Xenopus tropicalis: one gene and its partner. The protein of the gene in region 2 purifies or fractionates together with the protein of the main gene of each other region. This does not show direct contact. Links are inferred from orthologs where the notes say so. Each region holds a gene or a part of one and is shown on either strand. Other genes may lie near its edges.

Region 1 (6,500 bases), on a different chromosome or scaffold from region 2:
CTGCTTTTTCATAGCACATTCTGTTATTTAACTAAACTTAAGGAGCAACAATATATTGCACATGTAGAATATAAATATCACAAACAAGGCCGATTTTGCATCATAATTTAATAAACAGCCCTGTGGCTTCAGCTTCTATGGCACATGAACCTCATTTTCTGCTTAATGATTTGCAACAAACCCTAAGCGTAGCTTCTCAACAGCTGCCCAGAACACACTGAGCATGTGAGTGTCACCGACACTGCTAATAAAATCCAAGATGGTAAACTCCTACCGTAAAGGTCTAGATCATTAATCAGCATTCAGCATTTATTGCCCTATTTGTTTTTAGGGTTTAGTTCTCTCCTAGGCCATTTTTACTTTATCTCTCACCTCATCTATAGTGATACTTCATATGGTAAGGATCAGCATTAAAAAAAAAAACATTGACCTTACTCCAAACGCACAATTTTCCCACTTATAAAGACCTACAAAACAGCCAACCAAATGGAAGGCATGCCTGAACTGAAGATATAGTGAAAGTGCAATTTACTACTCTTTCATTACCACCCTGGCTTCCTTGGGACTAGAGTAGACCTTTTACTCCCCCACATTTGCTAAACTGATATCTAGAGTTTACACAAAATATAAAAGAAAGTATAAGCAAACACTTTAATGACACACACCACCAATGGACTGATCAAATTCCTGACCTAAACCAAGACCAACGTGAAGAGGCTATAGACAAGAGCTATAATTCCCTCATTTCTACAAAAGGATATAATTATACAGGACAAATCTCTACACCAAATTACTGTTTAAGATGTGACTACCTAGAAGCCAACTTCCTCCACAAGTTTTAGACCTGTCCTCCTGTAAAAAAAAATTGTGGTCTTAGTTACAGGGCCCAATATAGTGTTTAGCAGGCTATTTACAAACTTGTGCCAACTCTGCATGCAAAAGCCCAAGAAAGGGGAGAATACCAAATTGGGGAGTATCTATAGAAACCATGTAGCACCCTTGGTTTGGGGGATACAAAATCATACAGCATAGCATTACAATCAACAAAATGTGTGGAAGGCTGATATAAAAATGCATCATAAATGCACATGCCGAAGGATGAAGTGTATATTGGAAGGGCATTTGTTTTTGAAATACACAAAATAAAATTCAAAAAAGTTGGCTAGAGAAAAATAAAGGCTTAAATAACTTTACCCCAGAAGATGGGTCATAGGAGTCAACATAAACTTCTTTCAGTCTTGTCAGAAGCAGATTATCTTTGTTACGAATTTTATCCTCAATGTCCGGATGATCTAATTAAAAAGAAAAAAAAAAAATCCACCCTAAATATTATACAAGAAAATCAGCAATAAATAATCACATTTGTTACATTAGATTGTTTAAAGAGGATAAACTGCTAATCTTACAATAGACATGCATTCTGAACTATGTGCTATATTTCACAAGCTATACAATTGTATACAATGTAAAGAAAACACATACACAAACACACTACTAGCACGATTAAAAAGTGCCTGTGCGTGTCAGTTTCCTTTAAAAGGTAAACTTTTAGTATGTTATAGACATACTAAACATATTGCAACCTTCTTAACAACCTTTCAACTGGTCTTTATTTATTTTCTTTAATAGTTTTTGAAAATGTATCTTATCTCTAATAAAACTACCCAATACCTAAAACAGATTGACGGAATCTGTAACCAATTGGATTATGCACAGCACTGCTCTTTCCTAGCCAAATGAAAACCCAAACTATAAAAGTTACATACTTCTGTCATAAACTGTAGCTTCAGGATACAGTGGTAAGCAGAGTTGCTGGTTTAACTACCAAATTATTTTTAAAAGGAGAAGGAAAGGCTAATAAAGAGTTAATCTCAAGCTGCAGGCATACATTCAGTTGTCTCAATAGTGCCCTTAAGTCTCCCCATATTTCACCTGTTCAGATGATCAGAAGCCAAACCGGAAGGAAAAACACTGAGCTGTGTAAAGAAAGTTCCCATAATGCCTCACTCCTGCACAGACACCCAGACCAAGTGAACATGCTCAGTTAGTTAGACTATGAGTCAGCTTCCTGCTGATTGGCTCAGATCCACATTCCTATGGGGGGTGAGTGAGTTCTTAGCATTCTTGAGGGAGGGGGGAGCAGGAGAAAGCAGAGAGCAGAAAGCTGCATGTCTCTGGCACATGAATTACAGAAATCTTTTCACAGAGAAGTCAGCGCAGCATTTCTGTGAGTGCTTATGGCTGTATTTACATAGACCTTTCTGATAAAGCTTACTTAGTTTTTACCTTTCTTTCTCCTTTAAGCTGTTGAGGGTTTCCAAAGTACAAGCCTGGCAGTGTACCTAGCCCATCCCCCCCAGTGTATGTAGGGTAATGTAGTTTTTGTTTAACATTTTACCTACTGCCAAGGTCAATGCAAAACTACAATACTCAGCACAGGACTGACTGGTGTAGCAAGAACTTATCTACTCTTTGCAGCAGTTCTAGCCTTTCAGTTCTAACCTGACTGCATTACAAACTTCTCATTGATGCATCTGGTATGTGCTGCTACTTTGTAATGTGATGTGGGGGGTTAACATTTGATTCTGCAGTTGACCACTAAAATTATACCTCCTGGGGTTGCCGAGAGTTAAACTTAAACACAGCCATATATCGTGTCTGAGGGTTAATGCCATACTGTGAATCCACTTTTGCTGCATTACCTCCATACTGTAACGCTTTATGTGGAACATCCCTGATTTTTTATCATCCAGCCCACAGTTCTGGATTGTCTGTTGATGTCTTTGATTTCAGAGTTTTGCAAACTGAGGCTCTAATGACATTCTCCCACATTATATAAAGCATTGCTGCCAGGAGACTGAGAGCGAGGGGTGTATGGCTGGTTTGGGGAATGCAGTTAAGGCTACAACTGCGTCTTTCATGAAATGCTTCGGGGCCCACTGTATGCCATGAAGTGCTTAGCATGGTATGGGGGGGGTGGACAATTAATACACCCATTACGTGTTGGTGGGTATGCATGACCTACCTCTTTTATTAGTGATTTATATTTAAGAGTGCTGTTACTAATAAATTCTTCCATTCCCTGGATACTTGGATGGCTTATTGTAAGCTGAAGCTGGCAGCGTATGTTGAAGTAAAACTACAATAACCTGCATGTACCCTGCACATAAGGGCATAGCAATATCAGATATCCTAGTATCAGAAAGGTGGGCACAGGTAGCAATTCCAGACTTGTAAGGCCAAAGTGAAGGCATATTTTTCACATATAAATATTTTTTTTATTTGACTGGGTAAATTGTGCTATTTTGAAACTGCTTTTGAAACAGCTTTGTGACAGATTTTGGCTGGTTTTGAAAATTAGACCTAGCAACCCTGATGGTAACAAGGACACCCTTCGTAGCCCTATCTGAAAAAAACTAGCACCAGTAATGAAATACCTACAACAGCACCTTTTATATCACTATTGCTGACAGCTGAAGCTCAGACAACTGAATGCACCAAAATGCATAGCAAATGTTTTTCAAAGTATTTTCAGGGATCAGAGTTGTTCTACCAATTTGTCAGTTTACTGAGCTGGAATGCACTGGTTGAATCACAGACTACTTTGATTCATAATAATTTAGACTGTGGTACCTGGCTGCACTTGCTTTTAAGAGTCCAGAATAACTTTTTGGTTCTAATAAATGTACACTGCAGAATTAGAACATCTATCTGCCATGCCAGGCAACAAATGCAAGGATTCTTTGTGCAATGACTAGTATTTATCCAACTATAAATGTAACACAGGAAAGCGATACTACTAATAAAAATAAATGAGGCAGTAGCACAACCCTTCAGGGTTCCACATTAGAGACCTAACCCATAGGTCATGACCTCTAACCAATGAGAAGTGCAGAACTTTTGTTCCCAGCATGCCTTTCTCACACACAAGCTAACCTTGTCATACGGAGTGAACTGATCTTAGCTGCAGTCGCTCTAGTAAACATTTAAGAATATGTACTATGTGTATTTTATAAAGTATTTTTCTGTGTATAACGAAAAACAAAAGTTCACAAGCTACATAACTGGTACATAGGATGCAAATATAATATCGCTGTGTGTACAAGTCTCCCACCCATACTCACGTGTTTTGGTTGCCCTCACTGCATCCTCTGTTTTGGGGTGGGTGGGCGCCGGCCTCGGCTTCTCCTTGCCAATAAGCCTATGAGCCCGATTTTCAAGGTTAAAGTTCCGCATGGCTCGGGTTAATGATAGCCCCATGCCTGTGCATAGCGTGCCCGGCTAGCCGCGCTCTGTATAAGGACGAGAGCCAAGGGGCCTGACGTGCCGATATCCTGCTTGAAGCACGTAAGGAGCCAGAGGGGGCTGGGTGCCAGTACCAAGGTTGGGCGAGCGTCCTGCCCTCTCCTCCCCTTTAAAATCTCCAATATCCAAATCCTTGTCGGGCTTCTGTTGCTATGTGCTGACAGGTCCCCCCCTGCCCCATCGGAACTCCTCTGTGCTGCCTGCCATTTAAGTTGTGCAATCTGCTCTTAGTTTGTCCTGACAGATTCCTGCTTCCCCGTTTATCCAAGTCATCTCTGGGCGTTCCTCCATTGAACAGCCTCCATGTGACATCTACCCGGCTTGCCTGCATTCTAACGGCTGCACAGTCTTTGTCCTCCATCCACCTTGCTTTCTTATGCGACCCACCACCCCTTCCTTGCAAGGTGGAAGGATGTGTTATTCCCGATTCCCTTCCTTAAATACCATCCAACCGCTAAAGCAGTGCTGTCCAACTGGCGGCCCGCGACCCCCCTCTGTGTGGCCCCCCACCTGTCTGGCTGCTTTGATGGCTTACTCTTGTGTAAGCTTTAAATGGTATCAGTACTGTGATTAACTGGCCCCCTGCATGGTTCTCACCTCAGATTCAGGCTGTAATCAGGCTGTATTGTTTAAATATGTAATCCCCTGTGTTGTTCACACCTTTTAATCTCTGCATTGTTCACCCCCTGCAGTGTTCACACCTCAGGCTCAGGCTGTAATCACCCCATTGTTCCCCTGTTCACACCTCAGGAGCAGTAGAAACCCACAAATAATCCCTGCACACTACAAAAAGAACATATACTGAGGTGGTACTGCAATTAAAAAGTTTTTTAATATATAGTTATTGTGCAGACTGTAGGAGCAATGCCAGCATTGTGTCACTGTAGGCTGCCTGTGTGTGCCATATACACAGGCATCATAGGGCAAGCAGAGTATGGCACACGCAGGCAGGGTAGGGAAGGCAGAGTATGGCACACACAGGCAGGGTAGGGAAGGCAGAGTATGGCACACACAGGCAGGGTAGGGAAGGCAGAGTATGGCACACACAGGCCAAGTATGGCACAAACCAGCCAAGAATGGCAAACACAGTGAAAGTATGGCACATGCAGGCAGGGTAGGGAAGGCAGAGTATGGCACACACAGGCAGGGTAGGGCAGGCAGAGTATGGCACACACAGGCCAAGTATGGCACAAACCAGCCAAGTATGGCACACAGGCAGGGTAGGGAAGGCAGAGTATGGCACACACAGGCAGGGTAGGGAAGGCAGAGTATGGCACACACAGGCAGGGTAGGGCAGGCAGAGTATGGCAAGTTTTTGCTGTACTACAACCATTAATATGGGTATGGTCATGTGATAACATGGGTGTGGTTTCAAGTGGGTGCGGTTTCAAAAAGGGGAGTAGTCAAAACTGGCTTCCATTATCGGCCCTCCACCACGTAGGTCGGAAAAATTCCGGCCCTCGGTACAACAGAAGTTGGACAGCACTGCGCTAAAGCCTCCAGTACCGCTCGCACTTAATGTTATCCAAGCTCTTTTTAAACGCATTGAAATCTATATATGTTAAAGCAGCGCTTGTTCGATGTGTAATGATCATACAGTGCTGCTAGCAAAGAGATCTGTCTGCTTTTAATCGGGATACTGTCTCCTTTTGTTAGAAAATGCTCTATTCGCTAGCTGCACTGTATGAGCATTATATGTTATATAGGGATTGCTTTATTAAAAGGTATTGATTTCAATACATTTATGCCGAAGACACACACAACTTACATAATAGGCTTTTAAGCCTCGCTGCCACTTATCGCTGAAAAGAGCCTGGATACCATTGACTGCGGGTAGTATCGAAGCCTGGATCCCGATAAGTTAAATATATATTTGAAGCAGGGAACAAGGAATTCCAAATAGCTAAAATCTACGCTGGAATAGTGATATAGAATAAAGTGCTGCGACCCCCCTACCTTAGCTGAAATTAAATGAAGGGTGGAAGCAAATAAGGTATTTGAGGCTGGAATTGCTAGGATATGTAATTACACTCCCCACTTTCTCAAAATCTGGGCGCCTTGGGAACTTATGAAGATTGAGCTTTTGCATTCTCTATGTGTACCTTCACTTATTTCTTACTGTTACTATCTTCTATTTTGATAATTTTGAACATATCCACTGCAAGAACTTAGTTCTGCTTGCAAAGACTTCTACC
Region 2 (5,009 bases):
TATTTACATTTGAATGTGGCTCACAGGTAAAAAAGGTTGGGGATCCCTGGCCTAAGCCATGGAGACTGGGCAGGCAATGATTGACAGTTATGATTTTTAATTGCTTTTATAATGGGTATGGGTGTGTTAATAAAAAGATGAGTTTGGGTTTTGATAGGGGCTTTTATTATACAGCTTTTTATGCCTGGGTGACAGGTCCACTTTAAAGAGCGCTGGCAATGCAAGAGGCACACTCAGAGGGTGCCAGTATTTAGCATATTGTACCGCAGCTGCAGAATACCACAAGGAGCAGAAGCTGCCAATATGTGTTCCCTGCATAGTGACACTACCAGGAGGTGGCAGAATGGTGGATAGCAGTTATAGTAGGGCAAGACAGTGATTGCCCTTTAATTGAAGTAATACTCCTCCACAATTGATTTTTGGCTGAGTAGGGCCATGTTTAGGAAAGTTCTACTTTAAAGTAAAAAAGGTGTTCAGTAATGTCTGTGTTGCCCATTACTTTGTATTATCTAAAGCTGTCATTTCAATGATACAAAAACCTAAATGTAGTGCATAGTCACACCGAAGCAGAACTGCAAAAATCCCATTTAATCCCTGAATTATTTTATTATTTATTGATTTATAAAACTGCACTAGTTTAGAAAATATATCATATTATAAACAAACAGTTATGTTGGCTGTCACATCATTTACAAAACCCCATAAACAATAAAAAAAAATAAACAAAAAAAAAATCAGTGAAACAAGGCTTGGTTATTGTATAATGGCATTCCTGTGACTCCTTGGTGGAGCGGTGTGGACAGTGAAGCACGTTGGTTTGAAAGTATGGTTGTGATTTGCAGCAAGTGATGGAGGTGAATGCTGTATGATTAGTTAAACAGAGTCGCAAGAATACAGGCATCTCAATGTCTTTACATGCATCGCAGTGGATTAATGTTTCCCAGGTCAAGCACAGTCGCATAATGCTCATTTGAGAGATGGAGAGATGCACGCAGCCCTGGTTGATCTGTGCTTTGATAATAGTCTGCAAATGACTGTTGTTGCTGGTAATGTAATAAGTCTACAGGGGCTACAAGCAAACTAAAGGTTGTCCACTAGCAAACTATTAGACTGTCACTACATACTAAGCTTGCAGGTTATGCAGATGCTTTTTCTTTTTAACTGAATTTGCATTCTATTCAACTGCTTATATTAAGTAATATACCCAATAACCAAGCCTTCCTTCACAAATGAATTGTCTCCTACATTATATATTTATATGTACAATACATGTTTCTAATATTTATTTTTGTTGATGGGTTTTTGTAATATACAAGATATTTGTGTGTATGATATTGTGCAGTTTAAATAAATGATTAAAGAGACACTTAGGGGCTGATTTACTAATCCACGAACCGTCCGAATGCGTTTTTTTCGTAATGATCGGTATTTTGCGATTTTTTCGTAAATTGACGCGACTTTTTCGTAGCCATTACGACTGTTTCGCAAAATGTCGCAACTTTTAGATGCATGATGATCTGTTTTTATTAGTGTTGAATGTAACTCTATTGCGTTGCCCAACATGCTGCTGTTGGGGAAAGACAGGGGTTTGTTTATACAGAGGGCTTTTCAGTGGACTTCTGATTTGTTTTGAAAACAGAAAATGAGTGTGCTTGTTATTACCTGTCCATTCTTTTGTTGTGTTATAGTTGGAACATCAGTACTGACTTGCACACCAGTGCTGTATATTCTGCTTTACATCAGTTCATATAGTCAGCATGCAGTTGGACCCTGGGAGTTGACTTTCTCTGGGTAAATTCCAGGATCTTGTTACTGATAGTTGAATTTACAGTACATCAGCTGGCCTTATTGTACCTGCTTCACGGAAAGTTTTGTAAAACATTTTTACCAGCAACTAGAAACTAGAAATTCTTTAGCAACATTTAAGGAACACCAAGAAGAGCTAGCCAGCAACATGAAGAAGCATTTTTTTTTAGCTGACATTTGCTTTCATGAAATTAGTCACAAGTCTTAGTTATGTATGCAAAGGTATAGCCATATATGATATTTCACTAACACTGTAGAGAAGATGCAGTGTGTCTGGCTCTGGAAGGGGAAAGGGTGTAACAACAGGTAAACAAATCTGTTATTCTGGGCAAGAAATAGTTGGTATTCATTACAAATTTGCTAATTCCAGCTGATCTTTCCCTATAGGCATGCCGTTTATTGACGTCCAGAGTAAACTTGGAATCAACATAGATAAATGGATGTTACTGCAGAGCTCACAGCAACCATATCGCTGGGTTTCTTCATGCCAGGCATTTGAGAAAGAGTGGGTGGAATGCTCCCATGGAATTGGACAGATCCGAGCACGAAAGGAATGCAGGTTGGAATATGAAGACTTCTATGAGTGCATGAGCAGAAACAAATTGGTGAGTAGGTGTTTATTATACTGTTTGAGTTGTTGAGCTTGTGTGTCTGTAGTATCCATATCCAGTATGCTGATTAAGGTTAGATGAAAGATAATGTTAATGCTTTCACATAATTGTAGTGTGGAGATTAGCGCTAAGCCAGCAGTGAGGTAAAGCTCACTTTTGGCTCCCATACTTCACTTTCCCAAAAGATGTTAAGAGTGTTTAAGAGCAAAATAATTTTCCTGGGCAGAATTTCTAAGATAATAAATCTTTCACAAGATGTACAAGTTATATGCGCCAAACAAATACATGAAGTCTCCAAAATGTTCAGAATAAAACAGCAGAACTGGATAGTGAAGTATATATTTTTAATAAAAAATAAAATCCCAAATGGGTATACTCCCAAACATAATATGACAGATAGTGTTGTATAAATAATCACTCAGAATCCAAGCAGAAGTTCCAAATTACCCAAGAGTGTCCCTGGCCTTTAAAAAGCCTTCTTACTTTATTTTGTTACTCTTACAGAGACAGAGATTGCAGGCAATCCAAGAACAAAAGAAGAAGCTGGAGAAAGAAGGAAAATATAAGGCACCAGATTTCAGCAAAGATGACAACAGTCCTTAATCCGTAAAAAAGCCATCAATTTTTGTTCATTACAGCACCAACAAGTTACACAGCGCTTTAAAGCAATTACTCACTCTATGTTGTGAATCCCAAAACTTGCATTACATTTTGAAATTATTAAATTGATCCTTACTGGTCCATGTGTTGTTTGAACTATTTCAGCATGTGGATGGGGAATTTTCAGTACTTTCTATCTCACTATTTTCTGTGTTCAATGCAGTTTTGATGCTGTCCCATGGGAAACATGAAATCGGGGTTCTACTGTAATTAATTTTGTATGAAATAGCATTTCTGCCTATAGAGGCCAACTTAAATTTGAGAGACAAAATTAACACTGGTACATTGTGTTTTTTGGTATTAGGCTGAATGCATACTACACAATGTTAATTTTATTCTTAATATGACGAACCAAAAAAACTAAATTTGAATTTCCCTTGCAACATTAAATACAGGTGAACATAGCTGCGTAGTTAGATAGATCTGGTGGGATTATCTATTCATATTTGATCAAAATACCCCATTTTATACTGATTTCTGGCCATGTATGTTCTTCAGCTGTTGATGAACTATCCAGTGTAAGAAATAATGGGACGGATTTAGGGTGTAAAATGAAACCTCCACTAAAGCCATTGGGGAAATCTAATTGAATTAGACAGTATCTAGTAGAATTAAGTCTAAAACAACTGGACTTTTCTGAGTTTTCTTGAGAACGTTTCACCACTTATCCAAGTGGCTTCTTCAGTTCAAACTGAAAAAGCCATTCGGGTGAGTGGTAAAAGAAAAAAGTCAGATGTTAGACTTAATTCCACTAGATACTGTATATCATGACCTGGATGAATCTTCATAGACTAATTGACTTAGGCAGAAAGTTTTTTGAACCAGGCCTGTCCTTTACTATACATTTTGAAGCTGGCTGGGTTATGTGGATGCACAGTATCTATACTAACTTAGAAATACAGAATCTAGTAATAAGGGTAGATTTGTGCATAAGAAGTAGCAGTGTGACATTTCTACAAACTCTATACAGCCCAGAAGGATCATATAGTATTTGGTTGTCCTGGTGGGTGCAGTGGCAGATGTCATGCGTTGAAACTATAGCTTTTTGTGCATCATTGTTAAAAAATCGATTTCACCTCACATCCATTTCAGTTTTTTTGCATACTGGTATTGCTGGGAATCTTTTGTTGAGAACCTTATCAGTGAATTTCTTTTGAAAAGATACAGAACAGCCAATTCTAAATAATTAGGGCATTATACTGTATGTTCTTTTTATTGTTAGTTTTACAAATAGGGCTTGTGTTGAACATACTTTGTACAAGCAATAAATAAGGCCATACAGTCTTATCACAAAAGAATAGCAGTCCTGCTTGTAGGTGGCTTATATAACAGGTTTCAGTTTTGCTTCCTGGGAAACAATAAAATCTAAAATACTAATCTAGGGAATGTGGCCAAAAGTATTCCGACACTACATTTAAAGTTAACATATATAATAATTAAGAATGTACCAGTGAATTATACTCTTTAAGATATAGAAGGATTGTGCTTAAAAAAAAAAGTTGTGTTTTGGACTGATTTATTGAAAAATTCCACCAAAACCCCACTAGTCCCGCCCATCTGTTCCACTTCATGCTGGCTGAATTCTCAGCAGCTAGGCTGACCAGATAGAGAACAGAAGCTTGTCTTTGCTTGTGTGACTGCAGAGCTGTGATTGGCACGCCCACCCTTCATTTGAAACACAGACAGAGAACTGATAGGACCTATAGGATCTATAAGGGGCCATTTTACAGATAGGATTCATTTTTAGCCCAAAGTGAAACCAGCACCATATGTTATTCATAACTGCCTACAAAATTAGTTTTTTTTTCCATTTATCCAACATGTCTTCTTTAAATAGCAAGTTCTCAGTTTTAACCTACCTCTGAAAGCAACATGGGAACAAAAAGTGCAGCACTAACAAGCCTAAAATGACCATGCCCAATAGGGTTTCCT

What was found. The genes of interacting proteins can lie anywhere in the genome.
Region 1: the proteins of ndufs5 (region 2) and ndufaf4 purify together in Homo sapiens (co-immunoprecipitation; 3 studies listed by BioGRID and IntAct, with this or other methods). This does not show direct contact. The link is inferred for Xenopus tropicalis from reciprocal best matches to the Homo sapiens genes NDUFS5 and NDUFAF4.

Annotation. Positions count from the first base shown.
Region 1 is NC_030681.2:88,490,150-88,496,649, forward strand, and holds the start of ndufaf4 (NADH dehydrogenase [ubiquinone] 1 alpha subcomplex assembly factor 4), read right to left. Parts: upstream 4,269-6,500; 5' UTR 4,261-4,268; coding exon 4,125-4,260; intron 1,293-4,124; coding exon 1,195-1,292; intron 1-1,194. UniProt on the Homo sapiens protein: Involved in the assembly of mitochondrial NADH:ubiquinone oxidoreductase complex (complex I). May be involved in cell proliferation and survival of hormone-dependent tumor cells. May be a regulator of breast tumor cell invasion.
Region 2 is NC_030678.2:90,459,654-90,464,662, forward strand, and holds ndufs5 (NADH dehydrogenase [ubiquinone] iron-sulfur protein 5), read left to right. Parts: upstream 1-2,191; 5' UTR 2,192-2,193; coding exon of another isoform or gene 2,194-2,195; coding exon 2,196-2,411; intron 2,412-2,921; coding exon 2,922-3,020; 3' UTR 3,021-3,155; downstream 3,156-5,009. UniProt on the Homo sapiens protein: Accessory subunit of the mitochondrial membrane respiratory chain NADH dehydrogenase (Complex I), that is believed not to be involved in catalysis. Complex I functions in the transfer of electrons from NADH to the respiratory chain.